Linked DNA regions of Lonchura striata. Each later gene encodes a partner of the first gene's protein in a complex. Links are inferred from orthologs where the notes say so. Each region holds a gene or a part of one and is shown in the gene's direction. Other genes may lie near its edges.

The links.
Region 2: the proteins of DBF4 (region 1) and CDC7 are in contact, whole or in part, in a crystal structure (PDB 6YA8), measured with the Homo sapiens proteins. The link is inferred for Lonchura striata from reciprocal best matches to the Homo sapiens genes DBF4 and CDC7. Residues at the interface, in NP_006707.1 of Homo sapiens: Thr210, Arg211, Thr212, Gly213, Arg214, Leu215, Lys217, Pro218, Phe219, Val220, Lys221, Val222, Glu223, Asp224, Met225, Ser226, Gln227, Leu228, Tyr229, Arg230, Pro231, Phe232, Tyr233, Leu234, Leu236, Met239, Pro240, Ile242, Asn243, Tyr244; in NP_001127891.1 of Homo sapiens: Asn56, Val57, Phe58, Ala77, Gln78, Leu79, Gln80, Ile87, Ile93, Pro94, Thr95, Ser96, His97, Pro98, Ile99, Arg100, Ile101, Ala102, Leu105, Gln106, Thr109, Lys121, Tyr122, Cys123, Phe124, Arg125, Asn127, Asp128, Val130, Leu143.

Annotation. Positions count from the first base shown.
Region 1 is NC_134603.1:135,492,193-135,499,799, reverse strand, and holds the start of DBF4 (protein DBF4 homolog A), read left to right. Parts: upstream 1-4,535; 5' UTR 4,536-4,628; coding exon 4,629-4,674; intron 4,675-5,742; coding exon 5,743-5,921; intron 5,922-7,328; coding exon 7,329-7,523; intron 7,524-7,607. Other genes in the region: mitochondrial glutathione transporter SLC25A40, read right to left, coding at 1,150-1,256, 2,416-2,475, 3,270-3,363. UniProt on the Homo sapiens protein: Regulatory subunit for CDC7 which activates its kinase activity thereby playing a central role in DNA replication and cell proliferation. Required for progression of S phase.
Region 2 is NC_134611.1:20,213,728-20,221,160, forward strand, and holds the start of CDC7 (cell division cycle 7-related protein kinase), read left to right. Parts: upstream 1-4,343; coding exon 4,344-4,437; exon of another isoform or gene 4,438-4,444; intron 4,445-6,591; coding exon 6,592-6,678; intron 6,679-7,433. UniProt on the Homo sapiens protein: Kinase involved in initiation of DNA replication. Phosphorylates critical substrates that regulate the G1/S phase transition and initiation of DNA replication, such as MCM proteins and CLASPIN.

The DNA of each region.
Region 1 (7,607 bases):
AACATCTGGGGAAAGAGGTTGGGATTCAATGGATTAGAATACACCTAAGACCAGACATTATTACAGAGTCTCAAAAGATAGAGAGTCTGGCAGATCACAGAAAGGACTTAGAGGAAGGAAAAAGCAAATAGCTTTAGAGGAGACAGCCTTGATGAACTAATCCTGTGAGGTAAAAAGTTGAATGGAAAAAACAAAGAAATGGTTCATTACAACAAACCTGACTAGCTTTGAAAGGAAGCCAAGCATCCCTAGAGGTCCAAACATGGTTTAACAAAAAATACACATTTATACTAGCTGGTTAGTATCTTTATAACCCAGTTTCAACAAGTTTACAAAACAGGAAGGTAATAGATAAGACTAATTTTTTTTAAAAAAAAGAAGATGAAGTTATATGATAGTCATTCTTCTTTGAGAATCAACTTGTTCTGGCAAAACCAGGCATAAATTCATGTCAAATAGAAAACTAAGAAACTTTCTAAAATTATATAGAAAATGCAACTGAAAAAAATCACACTTGTAAAGTTCTTAATTAAAAAAAAAACCAAAAACCTCTTAAACTGCTGAAGACACCTTATGCATTAATCTCAAGATTTTAATTCATGGCAGAGTCAAAAAAAATTGTCTAATGAACCAGCATGACAGTATCTGCCAGCAAGTCTGTTTCAAGTGTTTAGGAAAATGCTAGCCCTACAAGTCTAGATATTTGACAGGATAGATACTTCTCTGGATAGAGAACTTGACACATGGACTTAACTTTAAACACCACCTGCACCATTAGTTCAGCTGAGGAGCACACTGGGAGATGTGTGGGCACAAGGGCTGTAAGCAGGAAAGAGAAAATTATTACCTGCAATCAGGAACTACTGCCAGTACAGCCGAAGTGGGGAAAATCAAATAATAAAGCCAGAAACCTTTGAGGAGAGCTGTGCAACTGCCTCCTTGTTCATCTTTAGGAAGAAATATGTATATTTTTGCAGACAGTAGAAGGTATGATCAAACAGCAGTGTAACCAATCTCATCAATCAGCAGTGTAACCACATGAAGACCTTCTCAAATGATAACAGATTCCAGTACAACCCAAAAAAACCTGAAAACTTTAGAGTATGCTACTTAAAAATGCAGTTTTATATACATGCAAAATGTTCTTACCCATGTCCCTTTAAAATGTCCAGGTTTTTTATACCAGGCTTTGCTGTCCTCACTTCCACAAACATATACATGATCCATAAGGCCATTGGAGTATACAAAACACTTTCCTAATAAAATGGTGTATAAGAATATAGTTAATGCTTATAAGATTGTTTTTAGGCAACAGCAATTTCAAATTGGATATAATGGCAACACAGATTTATTTCTGGTTAGTTACAGAGGGGCAAAATAATTTGGTAAGTCAGTAATGACAGATTAGGTCAAAGGAAAGAGGGTACAAATGTACCACTCAGACTGCCCAAGTAAATGGAACTGCCTTCACAAGGCTCCAAGAGACATATTCAGGTTATATTACCATCTGCTGAAAGGTAAAAGTAACAGAAGACCTATATATCACTACTGTATGTAACTGTGAACATCTTTCAGACTTTTAAATCTTTTATTAAGTAGCCTCAGCATCCAATTCAAGTGGAGGTATTGTATCTTGTTATTGTTATTATTATATCTTATCTTGGTCTGTATTTATACTAGATCATCCCCTCCATTTGTTTTTCATTTCTCCTACATTATGTGCTTTCAACCTGTTTGATAAAATATTATTGCCATTACAAAAACATACTTTAAGCTTCACATTTGCAGATTGCTGAAGGCTTTAGAACTTACTCAAAACCAGGATAGAAGGCACAAGTATTTTTCCTAATTTAATTTGCAAGTGTGACTGCAAATACCTCCACATTCAACATGAAAAACCAATCATCTTCTTTCCTTTTAAATCTTATTTACTAAGTACAAGTAAATAGTAGGAACCATTAGCACATCTCTGAGAGCACAATATCTTCATCTATTTAGAACCCAAGAGACAAGGGACTTGTTAAGACTTGTCCATTTCAAAAATCTCTGGATTCTGGAGGAGATGAACTTTGATATAACATCCTGACCACTTAAGCCCTCTGATGAAATATTTATTCATTTAGTAACAGCTTTTTATTGTTTGACTCAACTTAGTATTAGTTGTACATTCTGCCATAATAAAAATATTAAGACAGAAAAAAAAAAAAAGCCTGTTAAAAATGGTATAGATGTATGGGATTTTTTCTGTTTAGTACATATTAGCCTGTTGCTTTCCCCTGCCCCCACCCCCAGTTATATTAGAGACACAAAATCAAACATTCTGCACCTCAGCACAGCATTATGACAACTATCAGCTAAATACAAGAGCAAAAAGCAAACTGTGTCCCCCATTACACTACGTATTTGTTTGTTTACCTTTATGGAATGGATTCCTTTGGGCTTGCAGTCGAATTTTGATAACATCAAGAGGAGTTACTAAAATAAAACAGAAGTCATTTAGAAACACTCAGTATGCCCTGAAAATGTAGAAGTCTACAGAGGCTTTATCATGAACTTTTACAACCTTTTTTTTGTTTCGGGGTGGCGGGGCGGGGAGTAGGGAGAGAACCCCACCTAACAGATTTTACAGTGTTATCAAGCAGAGAGAAAAGGGATGTTAGCAGACAGAGACAATGCTATCAGAGACAAAGGACAACTACACACCCTATATGGTTTGCAAGATATCAGATCTATCTTTTCTAATTTACCAACAGCTGCATAGGCATGAAATATTAGAGATACACAAAGCTCATTCAAAAACCACTGTGTCATGTTGTCAGTTATTGCTTTTATAAATAGCATACCGTAAGGCAAACAAAATCAAATTTTGGCCTCTGGCATATAAAACAGCACAACATTCTTCATGTGTTTGTTCTTTTTCAATAAACTGACCATAATACAACTTTCAAGAAAACAAAAGTTAAATTCATTTTGTACTTTTCTTTTCTTGTTGCATGTAGCCAATATGTAAAACATTTGGGTTCTTGAAAAGTGAAGGTTTAGTGAACATTTCACTGCTTCCACTGCAGCCCTTACAGCTGTCACAGGCTGAGACATGTTGAACGCTGCAGTGGCTGGGCAGCTGGGCCATCTTCCTCTGATTATGTCGGCTGAGGGCTCGATTCCACATGTTCGTGGAAACATACATAAGGAGACCTCATGCTGAGTCAAACTGAAGAGTAATCACTTTGTAAGATTCTCTCTGTGGCCAGCTTCATAGTATGCCTTACCAAATAATGATGTAATTATAGCTCCACAACAAGAGGCTATTGCTTGCTGAGCAATGGTTAGTTTTTGTACATTGATATCACTCATTTCAGCCATGGCTTTATCTCCAGAGTAGAAAAACCTGTTAAGGAACAGAAAAACATATTGTAAGACTACGCTCAAAATTTGCAGAAAAAAAGTCAAGGGATAAATATTTTCAATTTTCATTACTAAGTTATGTAGAACCAGCAATATTACTTTTCTACTTATATAGAAGCATCTCAGTAATTTTTGAGATTATTTGAGCCATATTTTGCAAGTAAGTTTTCTAAAGACAATAAATCTTCAAAATTCTTCTTAAATGAATTACATTTACATGTTCTTGCAAACCCCATTAAACGTTTACCACATATTGACTTTAACTGCAACAAAGTGTCTACAAACAAGCAAATAATCCTTACCAAGATAAACTGCCAGCCTGTAGCCCATAAACTGAAGCACTGCAGAATAATTGACTCAGCCCTTCTCTTGCTCCCATCTCCTCTGAGAGAAGCCAGAAAGGTCTCCTGGCTGAGCCCACCGCCTGCTAGTGATGACTGTGTGCCCTGGCACTCCTCTGTAACAGGCAGGGACTAGCTACTCATAATGCTACCAGCAAATGCTAATTCCTCGAATTCCAGCAATTTAGGAATGCATTCACAATATCTGCAACTAGCCAGGACAGGAGAAGATAATAAAAATACTTCAGAAAATAAAATCCTCAAATAGAGGAGTGTCTGTCAAAATGCATCGTTGCGCTTAAGTGCAGCCCTAACTTTGTTAGAACCATTGATCTAAATTTTTCACTGGCTTCACAAGAATGTTTTGTTATTTTCACTACGCTTCAAGTTAGAAAGGATTAAGTAGCACAAACCGGCTCTGTCCTCTCAGGTGCTAACAACTGCAACGGCAGGTGGGGATATTGTTTATTTTTCAGGTATCTCTAACTCAGAAGGGGACCGCAGCCCAGAATTGCGTACATACCCGATTATCAGCGGCGCCGACGGGTGCAAAGGTCTCCGCCACTCAGGCACGGTCCGGCCGGTGGCGAGGGGGGAAGAACGCCGCCACTCCTACTGCTCCGCCCGCGCCGAGCCCGCGCAGCTCGGTCCCCACAGCCGCCTGCCTTCCCCTGCCCGCCTTCCCCTGCCCGCCTTCCTTCCCCCGCCTCCCTGCCCGCCCGCCTTCCCCGCCCCGGGGCGGGCGGGGCCGGCCGCGCGGGCGGTTGGTGAGGGCGCCGGGGCCGCCGCGGCGCAGGCGGGAAGGCGGCGCGGAGCGGAGCGGCGGTGCCGAGCGGAGCGGCGGTGCCGTGCCGGCGGGGCGCGATGTGACTCCGCGGGAAGATGAAGCCGAGCGCTGCCGAGGCCGCCGACAAAGGAGCGCGTCCCCGTAAGCTGCGGGGAGCTGCCGCCGGCAGGCCTGGCTTAGCCGGGGCCGCCATCCCGGCCGGGGCTGTGAGGCGCCGCAGCCGCCTCGTGCCGCGCTTGGGCCGAGCCTCGGGCCGGCGCTGCGGGCGGGGGCGGCTGGAAGGGCCCTGGTGTGCCCTGGGGAGTTACGCGTAAAAGCGTGTTCCTGGTGTGTGGGAAATGGCCGGGCCGCTGCTCCCTCCGGGCTGGCATCGCTGGTACTTGTGTGAAGGGCTCCTTAGGCCCAGGGGGTGAGAACGCACCCCCATAGCAATGAAGAGAACTCTTCATTGCTGTTGTAGTTTTGCTAATGCGCTCCAAACTTCTGATTATCCCTGAGCCGTTTAATCTGCGTGCTCCAATATTAATTCCAGTTAATTTCTAAACGGCCCTGGCATGTGTGTGGTGAGTTTTACACTGTATTTTATCCGTGATCATCTACGGAATTGTCCTTGCACACTTGCTTATCATCCATCCTTTCTGTTCAGATTCTGGATCAGTTGCACCAACCTATATCTCTTAATTTTCTTATTTCTCTAGGTTTTTTTGTCTTCCACACCGTACGAAACTGACTGCTGTTCCTGCGTTTTTTAGTGTGCTCATATACCTTAGAGGATTTTGCAGCATGAGTAGTGGTTCTGCTCTCTATCCTACCTGGGACTGTTTCAGGGAGGGAAGGAATACTTTCAACAGAGGGACTGTTTTGCATTTTGCCTTTTTGTCTCCAGAAGAGGCCTGCTCACTTCCTGTGGCAGCTCTCATTGTCTTGAGCTCCAAAAGAGAAGCAGCTAGGAGTAAGTCAGTGAGGAAGAAGAACCAATGTAAAGCCAATATGTGGAACTGTGCTTTGAGCAACGTGATCTAGTGAAAGTGTCCCTGCTTATGGCAGGGAGGTTGAAACTAGATGATCTCTAAGGTCCATTCCAGCCCAAGCCTTTCTATGGAAGCTTGCTCCATCCATTTCCTTAATTTAGGAATTTTCCCTTTCAAAAATAAAGCCGACATCCAATTCTGTTTAAATTGCCTGGTTTTTTTTTTCTGCTTTCCCCAGCAGATGGAATACAAGCAAAAACAGAAAAGATAAGATCTTCCCTGAAGAATGTGAAAAAAGACACAGAAAAGCCAGAGAAACTCAAATTTAAGCCGCTCACTGGGAAGGTGTTTTACCTCGATATCCCATCAAATGTGATCTCTGAAAAGTTAGGAAAGGACCTCAAAGAGCTGGGAGGGGTAAGTTAATAAGAGTCATGTATGATCCTAGAAGGAAATGTGCACATGTGGAATGCCTTTTTTGTGTTCTTTGTAACTGCATTTTAATGTTATTTGTAGTTAGCTGAGATAGGGTCTTATTTTTCTATGTTTGTCTTAAACTTTAGTCCAAATAATGAGCTTATCAACAAATTATTCTGTGGGTTTTCAAGAGAAGCTGCTTTCCTGATTGGAACAAAAGTTCTTATTAGGAAGTTTTATTTTCAGTTGATTATTCACCTGGCTTAAATTTTAATCCAAATTTACTAGGTTTCATTGTTTGAGGCGATTTTTCTTCTGCTGCTTCTGACTATATTGACATGTTTACATGTTGCAACTAACAGTGCTTAGCTGAACCTGGAAGAGATTAAAGAAAGAGTTTTGTGTCTGTTTTCTGTAAGTCAGAAACTTCACTAAAAGCATTTTGCACAGAGTATCTTAGTGAGTGTTTTTGAATACTCTTACTTAAACAATAAGTTTTATAAGCATCTTACTAATTTTTTTACTAATTCTCCTTTCTATATGGAAGGAACTCTGATACAAGCAAGTACAGGATGCTTGTGTGGAGGGCACTTAGCAATGCCTCTCTCTGTATATCCTGGTTCTGTAAAAGATGCACAAACAGAATTGAAAGGCACAGTTTCAAGTTGTGTGATTTGTTCTTTCCACACTGATTAGTGGAAAAGAGGAAAATACCTCAAACTATACAATCTGACATGAAATAACAAGGCAGATAGCAAAACTGAAGTTGGCAATGAAAGAGACTGAAGGAGCAAAATTGAAGAGTGGACTCAGAATGATGGCATTTTTATATTGCTGAGTATAAGAATATGAATCTACTTAAGACTTTACTTTTTGGAGAAATATTATGAAAACTGTAGGTGTGAAACATGGTAGCTATCCTGAAATTTTATTTTTTCTGCTGGTTCTAAACTCAGTAAATTTATAGCTTGTTGCAGACTGTAAATTACATTTGCAAATACCTGCCTGTATGTTTAGCTGAACACTTCTGTATAATTCCTGTTACCTAAAATTAGAGTAATTTCCTTGAATTAATGTTATTCCTTAATGCAGTGTTTGCATTCTTGTAATTGGAACGTATTACAGGTAGGTAGTAAAAAATTGTAACAATCATAACAAAGCAAAGCTCTTTTAATGATGATTACAAAATTAAGAAATTGAAATTAGAATTTGTGGCTGGTAAGATACTAGTACAACTTAATTGTCATTGTCATCCAGATATTTAGAAAATATTTTCTTGTTAACTCAGTGTGTTTGAACTTAATTGTTTTAGAAATTTTATCTCTTTCCTTTAAAAGATTTCATGTAAAATTGAGTTACTGATCTATTGTCCTGAAATAATTACTTAGTTTATGTCTTTATATTTAGAGAGTGGAGAGTTTTCTTAGTAAAGATATCAACTATCTGGTGACTAATAAAAAGGAGGCAAAATTTGCACCAACTCTTGGCCAGATTTCTCCTGTTCCTAGTCCAGAATCTGCATCTAATGGAGGAAATGGTTCACCTCATCCTAGCAACCGAAAAGATCGACATGATGGAAGCTCATTTAAGATAGTAGATACAGTAAGTTTCTTAGTAATAATGCTGCAAATCAGGTGTGATCCATGGGATATGCTCTTAAAAATTTTTCTTCTATTTTTTTTCCTA
Region 2 (7,433 bases), on another chromosome or scaffold:
TTGTGTTTCTAAGGCTGGAGGATGGCACAAACAGGGAGGCTTCTAGTTTAATCGACCTAGCAAGTGGTTAATAGATGTGCTCTAGTGTCAGCACAGATTCCTTTAGGCCTGTCGGCAGACAGGAAAAGTTTGATTCAGCAGCAGATTCTGGCAGCAGTGGATGCAATCACACAGCAATGTTTGGATCCTTTCTTGGCGAGCTCCCAGATGTGGGTTTTGGCGACTGCTTGTCAGCCAGAGGGGACATTCTGCATGGGCCTGGCTTGTCATTTGGCTTCTCATCCTTCATTTCCAACCTAGAGATAAAGCCACAAGAGAAGGCAGTGCAGCAGTTTGGCTCACAGAGCATTAGATGTGCTACTTTGTCATTTTTAGTTGATGCAATTTCTTCTCTTTCCTTCTGAGCAGTTCCTGCTGTGGTGCAGGGTTGGAGCTGGATGCTCAGTGTTGAATGAGAAGATGGAGCCTTCTCTGCCCCACGAGTGAACAAGGAGTTTCTGCTTATCCAAGCCAACAGCAAAGAGAGTGTCTGATGTTACAGCAAAGGCACAGAAGCTGTGCAGATGCAGAGCAGAAGCTTTACTTTTTCTATAATCAATCAAAATAGAGCAAAATAAGCTAAATAAGGTACTTAAGCAAGTACTGAGAAAATAAGAGTGGAAATGGCACATATAATTGATTTCTCTCCTGTGAAGATGTACATGGAGAAAAAAATTGATTAAGAGGTAACTTTTGAGAAGATATAAGAAGAGTAATATCCAATTTGACTTAACTTCCTCCTTAAACAGAGGAGAAAGAAGAAGGTAAAAAGACATAAATGAAGGCAAGCATCAAGGCTGGAATTTCTGGTAGGCTAAAAAGAGTGGAGCAATAAATTAAGAAACAGTATGAGATTATAGTATAAAGGCCAGTTATGCTCATGGGAACAAAAAAAACATTTTGATATGATAGAGAACCAGAATCACTAGAAGGATGACATGAGAGAGCACAACATATTTGAATCAATAAGAAAGGAGAAAATTGAGAGGAGCTAATGATCAAGCTAGATAAATTACCTGGGTCTAAATGAAAATAATTTTAGGTGTTGAAACCAAGATAAATTGAGACATTGCAGGGAAAGAAACCACAGCTAGACAGGGTCTTGATAAGAAGATATAAAGAAAGCAGATTTCTTGCTGTGTGAAAGTGCAACTGAAGTGATGAGGAGGAAGCTGGTCCGAGTATGACTGACAGAGAAGTGCCTATAACAGGAGCTGTACAGAAAGGGAGGTGATTTGGTATTCCACATGAGGGCAACTCCAAGGCAGGGAGGCCAAGGAAGTTGGATTAAACTTTGACCTGGCCAGGAGGCAGCAGAGCTAAGTATGCAACCTGTAAATAATCAGCAGCTATTTTGCAAGTATTAACTGGCAAATAGAATTCCTGGTTCAACAGTATTCAGAAATGGCTGTAGGTAAGATTGTCCCAAGAGGTTAATTTAGAATGATGTTGCTTGTCATAAGCACTAGGACAAACCTGCACTCATGAAAGCTTATGATGCCCTCTGAACTTCTGTAAGTGGATATAAGAACAAACAGAATTTGGCCTCCTTTATTTTGTCATTATACCTCATTTTATTAATGTTTGGTATAATCTGCTTTTAAATACAGTCACACTTAACTGAAATTATTGAGCTGGCACACTTCACTAAATCTCAAGGTGCAGTACTGACTTCTTAGAGCCCTAAACAGAAAGTGCAAATGAGAACAACTCTTAGAAAAGAAGAACCCACACATCAAACCAAAACCTGCTCATCTCAACGTCCTCCTTCTAAAATGTATAATAGGAAGCACAACTTAACAAAAGTGGTAGACCCTGTTTCTGCATTTGACAATTTGTTAACCCAAGTACAGCTTTATAGCAGGTAAAGCCAAGCTAGAACCCTTGCAAACTTTGACAACCCCAGGCTTAGCTGTTATTTACCAAGGGCTGCGTTTACAGATCTCTGCCTGAAATATTCAATAAACAAGATTATTTTGGTTCATATTCTAGTGAACAAGAGATTTATGCATTATCAAGTGCAGTGGAGCTACTCTTCAACAACAGTAATATTATTTTGTCTTTAAAAAAAGAAGAAATATTGACCAAAAATGGGTAATAGACAAGAAGTGCTAAATTATTTCATTTACAAACATACAACTGCATTAGTTTCAATAAAATCCAACTACTCCAAACATCAGGTAACCTTACACTGAATAGTTTCAATAGTTCTTCCAAATCCTACTCATTGCTGGACAGCAGCTACAGCCCTGACCGGAGCCAAGACGGAAATTTAATGTTGAATTCTGTGCGATCCTTTTTGTTGTGTATTCAGGCAGTACGGCAGAGCTGCAAGCCAAGCCGTTCCCCCGTTACAATGGCGTAGGTGGAGCCATTCCTTGGCCTCTGGGACGTTTGACTAGATTTATAGCGCAAGAATTTACCGGGGGCTTGGGCTGTTTCGCAACAACCACACGTAGGACACGAAGTCTAAGGGACGAACACCACCGTGGGGCCCGGAGCGCGGCGGGCGGGGCAGTCCCGCGCGGGGCAGTCCCGGCGGCACAGGCCGCGCCCCGCGCCGCTGCGCGCGGGCCCCGCCGCTCCAGCCAATGGCAGCGCGCCCTTCCCCGCCCGGCGCCGCCATTGGCCGGGGCCGCCGCTTCCGCCGAGGGCCGGGATTGGCGGCGGCGCGCGGGCGCGAAAGGCGGCGGCGGCAGCAAAAAGCAAAACCCCGGCGCGCGCCGGTGCCCGCGTGAGTGCCCGTCCGCGCGCGCGTGTCCCCGCTCCTTCCCCTCCCTCTCCCTCATGCCGCCCCGGGGCCCGGCCCGGCCCGGCCCGCTCCTCTGGGGGTCCCCGCTCCGCGCGCCCTCCGCCCCTCAGTGCCCGCCAACCCCCAGCGGCGGCTGCCCGCCCGGCCGGGGTGGAGCCGAGTGACGGCTCCACGCGGGAGCCGCAGGGCCCGTCTGTAGCCCGTGAGCCCCGGGCCGCCGGGGAAGGCCGCGGTGTGCGCTTGGGCCGGGGCCCCGCTGGCGGGCGCTGTCCCGTAGGGGCAGTGGCGGGCTCGGCGCGTTGCCGCTCTGTGTGGCCCTGGTGACACCAGCAGCGCGCACGGGGCTTTGGCTGCGGGACGGCTCTGGCTCGCCTGTAGCCGGCGGCTGTTCTGTATCAGTGTGTGCAGCCCTTGTGCTGCTGCTGGGGCCATGGTGCTGCCCGCTCGGAACAGGGGTATCTGATCTGCCTCCTCACCCTAGCAGCGGGAGTGCCTGCCTGTGAGAGATCAGCACCGGCTCCAGTCGCGTTCCAGCGCTGTCCAAGTCCCTCTCCACCAAACCTCCCGCAAAAAACGGGGCTCGAGAAAGACGGCTCCTGCCTCTTGTCCCTGTTGTTACACAAGGATGACAGCGTAAAGGCAGCTCAAATTCTTTGGGGACAAAATGTATTTCTGGCTCCATAGCTGAAACAGATGAATCCTTGCATCAGGAGTTTTTCAGAATTTGTTTCCCCCACGTGGAAAAGTTCATCCAGATCTATAAAGGTTTAGCATACTGACAAGGAGGGAAGGCTTTTGAATAGAACTAGTTTTGAGTAACTGTTAAGAGCTGCTGCTTCCAGGCTCATTTATCACTGGTTGTTCTGCCCTGGAAGTCCCTGCCACTCTTTTGCTCCTGAAAAACAATTATCAGGTTTTTTTGGTTTTGTGGGGGTTTTTTTGTTGGTTTTTTTTTTTTTTTTTTTTGGATTGTACAGTTTTAGTGGACTTCACTAGTTCATAGTTTTATGTGGTGTTTCCAAGATTTGGGAAGAAGCATTTCAAAATAAGCATGTTCTATTTTTCTTGTGGTGGGAGGGCAATGAACAATTATATTTTGTTGAATTTATCTAGGAGGGAGAGATCTCTCTTATGGAGAAGATATTTTTTTCTCTTATACTTTCTTTCAATCTTTCTGACTTTCTATAGCTTTTGCAGTGTGCAGTGCAGCTATTTCTGTGTACATCAGCCTTTCAAAGCAAACTTTAGGGAAAAGACAATGTTTAATGTGAATGAGGAAACATGAGAGATGAAAATCAGTTGTATTTAAGCGTATCCTGCAGTCTTCCTTCCCACCCCCATCCTCATTGCTTTACTGGTTTACTGTTTCACTTGGATGGTGGGTACACTTTCTTTTAGTTTGCACAGAGGAACTCCTCAGACTCCCCTAAATCTCATCTCAGGAACTGACTGCAGGGCTAGGAAGTGTCTTACCAGATATGCTTGCTCCCCCAGGTGTCCAGAAGTGGCCCTCGAAGTCTTGTATTTTTTTTCACTTGAGACTTGTTTTGTGATGGAGACGGTGTTGAAGTCTCCCTGTGATGAACAGCACCCTCAGCAGGCTGAAGAATTCCACGGGAATCTTGAGCAGAGCAGCAAGGTTTCAGGTATGTGCTGAAATAGGGATTGTGAACATTGCATTTTGTTGCCGATATGCTGCTTCATCACTTGGGGAAATGTCAGTATTGATTATAAGCCTTTCTGTATAAGATTTTGCTAAACCTACTATTAATATATTACAGAACATGTTATTATAAGAGGATACCAGAATGAAAAAAAGGCAGCCCTTGAGAATAAAACTGACCAGACAAGTGCACAAACCCAGTATTTTGCCTTTTAACCTATAATCACCAGCCTTATGCTTCAATAGATATGTTTATATCTATAAAAACACTCTTGTTTTTCTTGTAGAAGTTGAACTGAAAGAGGTTTTGTTGGTTGTTTCTGAGTCTCTTTGTGTACCTGAGTCTCCACTTTCTGTACAATGCTTGCTCAGGAATCCCTGATGGTCAGCCAGTTCATAGATATAATGGCTTCTGATTTTTTTAAAATACATAATCCTCTCTTAGACTCCTGCATATCCATGCCCAGATTGATGCTGAACAGTGTTTGTATTGCTTTGCAAATAGGAGAAGAAATCACTTTAAAATCTGGTCATAGAAAATGCTGGCTAATATTATTAATATTATTTCTCTGATGGCACAATGACTTTATGTTCTCTGTACCCAGCTGAGGATTCAGGACCCTGGAACAGATCAGGTGATGTTTACACTGCTGTCCTTCAACAAGGACAATCACTGACTTTTTCCAGCACTTCTCTCTTTCACACAAACCAGCTCTGTTGAGCTCCTAAATGCTGTCAGTGCCTTGAGTAGGCACTGCAGCCTCTGCCACCCTGCTTGAAACGGTCTGACAGCTTTAACTTTCTCCAGGGAGGAATCTGAATTCAGTGTTGGACAAAATGGAGTATCTGGCAGATTCTAAAGCAGTTGTTGAGTTAGTTCTCCATGGTTGTTAGGATATACTCAGGATTTTTTCATTCCTGAAATATTTCACAAAATGTCTTAAAACAATTTGAAGAGGCAGAGAGAACAACATAAAGGGTAAAAAAGGAATGTAAACGGATAGTTAAGTGAGGCAGCAGGTTTCAGTTGTCAGAAGCATTTTTAGTATGTTAGTTTTTATAAAATCTTGAAATAAAAAAAAATTAAATTGAAAGTTAACTATGACTTGAATTACTAGCTGATTTATTGGGTTTTTAGCAGGAAGAAAGTGTTCTTCAGGCAGTTTTTGTTATTGTTTAAAGTAAGCTACATAGAAGGCTAGGGATGCATGTTAATATATGCTTTGATTCCAGCATATCTGTGATTAAAAAAAAAAAAATCTTATTGCTTATGATTTACTGCCTTGGTGAAACATGGTCCATTTTTACATATATAATACATTACAATTTATCTGTTTATGCTCAATTTAATCTGTTATTTATTTTTAGGATGAAAAATGTATACACATTTGATTGACTTTTCACAAATACCTTTTTGTGCTTTGTTCTGTATACTAAAATATTCTTTACCCCTGGCTTCACAGAAATTAGTCACAGCTTCTACACAATTTATAGCTTCAAAAGAAGTGAATTCTTCTGTGGGGTACAGAAAAGGCTTGAACAACAAGGATTTGTAAACTGAATGGAAAACTACATCATTTTCTTGAAATAATACATCCTTGTCGTGCCATCTAGTGATTACAGCACGAAGTGCAGCAGCCAAGATGCAGAGCAAACATGGGCTTTGGTGCCAACTATTTTAACTAACAGTGGGAAAGATGGCATTACCAATTTTTAAAATATCTAAAAAATACTGCTTTTTCTGCATTTGTGATTTGCATATGATGGATTTACACTTCTGCTACAGAATCAACTGTTACAGTTTTGCCTTTTGTCAATTGCCCTTGCAAATCCTATGTAAACATTTAGTGATGAGGTGTGGGTATCCTAGGAACCAGGCAGCTTTTGCCCTCTTGGAGTCTGCTGTCAGATAAGTAAAAATGTGTAAATGCTGCAGCTTAGAAAGAAGTGTGATGAAGAACAGCAATACCAAGTGTCCACATGGTAATGTTAACAGGATGGAAAACCTTTGTGCTGTTTTTTCCTTTGTGTATGTGAGTCCACAGTCCTATGAAATGTAATTTGTGATCTCCAGAATAGATCAGATATTGAATCAAGTAATAAAATTCCTAACTTATTTTCCCCATTCTTCCCACAGCAGGAGTAAAAAAAGATATTGAAAAACTTTATGAAGCAGTGCCACAGCTTGTAAATGTGTTTAAAATAAAGGAAAAAATTGGGGAAGGTAAATGTTTCATTTTATTTTGCTTGGAGTTAAGATTTCTTTTGGCATTTCTAACTTAAAAAGTGTAAATCTAAGATCCTAATATACACAATTTAAGCCAAATGCCTTTTCTTGACTTATTACATGGTCTCTAGGAATTCTAATATGCTTCTGAGCACATAGGTGTATTAATTAGGAACACTTTCAAGATATTTTCTTGAAAATCTGGTCTATTAAAGCCTTGCTAAAAAAACAGCATTCCAATTTTGGCAATTAAAAATTTTTGATGTAGATTCAAGTAAATAGCCTTAAAAATCCCTTCGTTTTCTCCCTTACATGAGAAATCTACTTACATGTAGCTGTGTTCTGAAATACTTAATTGGTGATCCTTAAGTTAGCTTTGTTTCCACTACAATCTCTTGGGCAGAAGTGGATAAGGAAACTGAAATGTTGGAGCTGCTTTACTTAAAATTGAACAACTTTTTATTTTTGAAGATTTATGGTATCAAATTTTAGAATGCTTGTGTTCCCATTGCCTTCAAAAGACAGTATTGCAAATACCTTTAAATTAGTGTCAGGCATGACTATAAATAGATTCAGGTACTTCTGAGTGTGGGACTTCAGCACTTAAAAGATAGTGTAATTAAACAAAATTTCTGGTTTTACTATTGAGAGCAAACAGTGTTTTTAAAAAATACCATTTGCAGTACAACAGCATTATGAGAAAACAAGCTTCAGCTAAGGATTCCACTCTGGAATCACTTTCATTTTAGCAG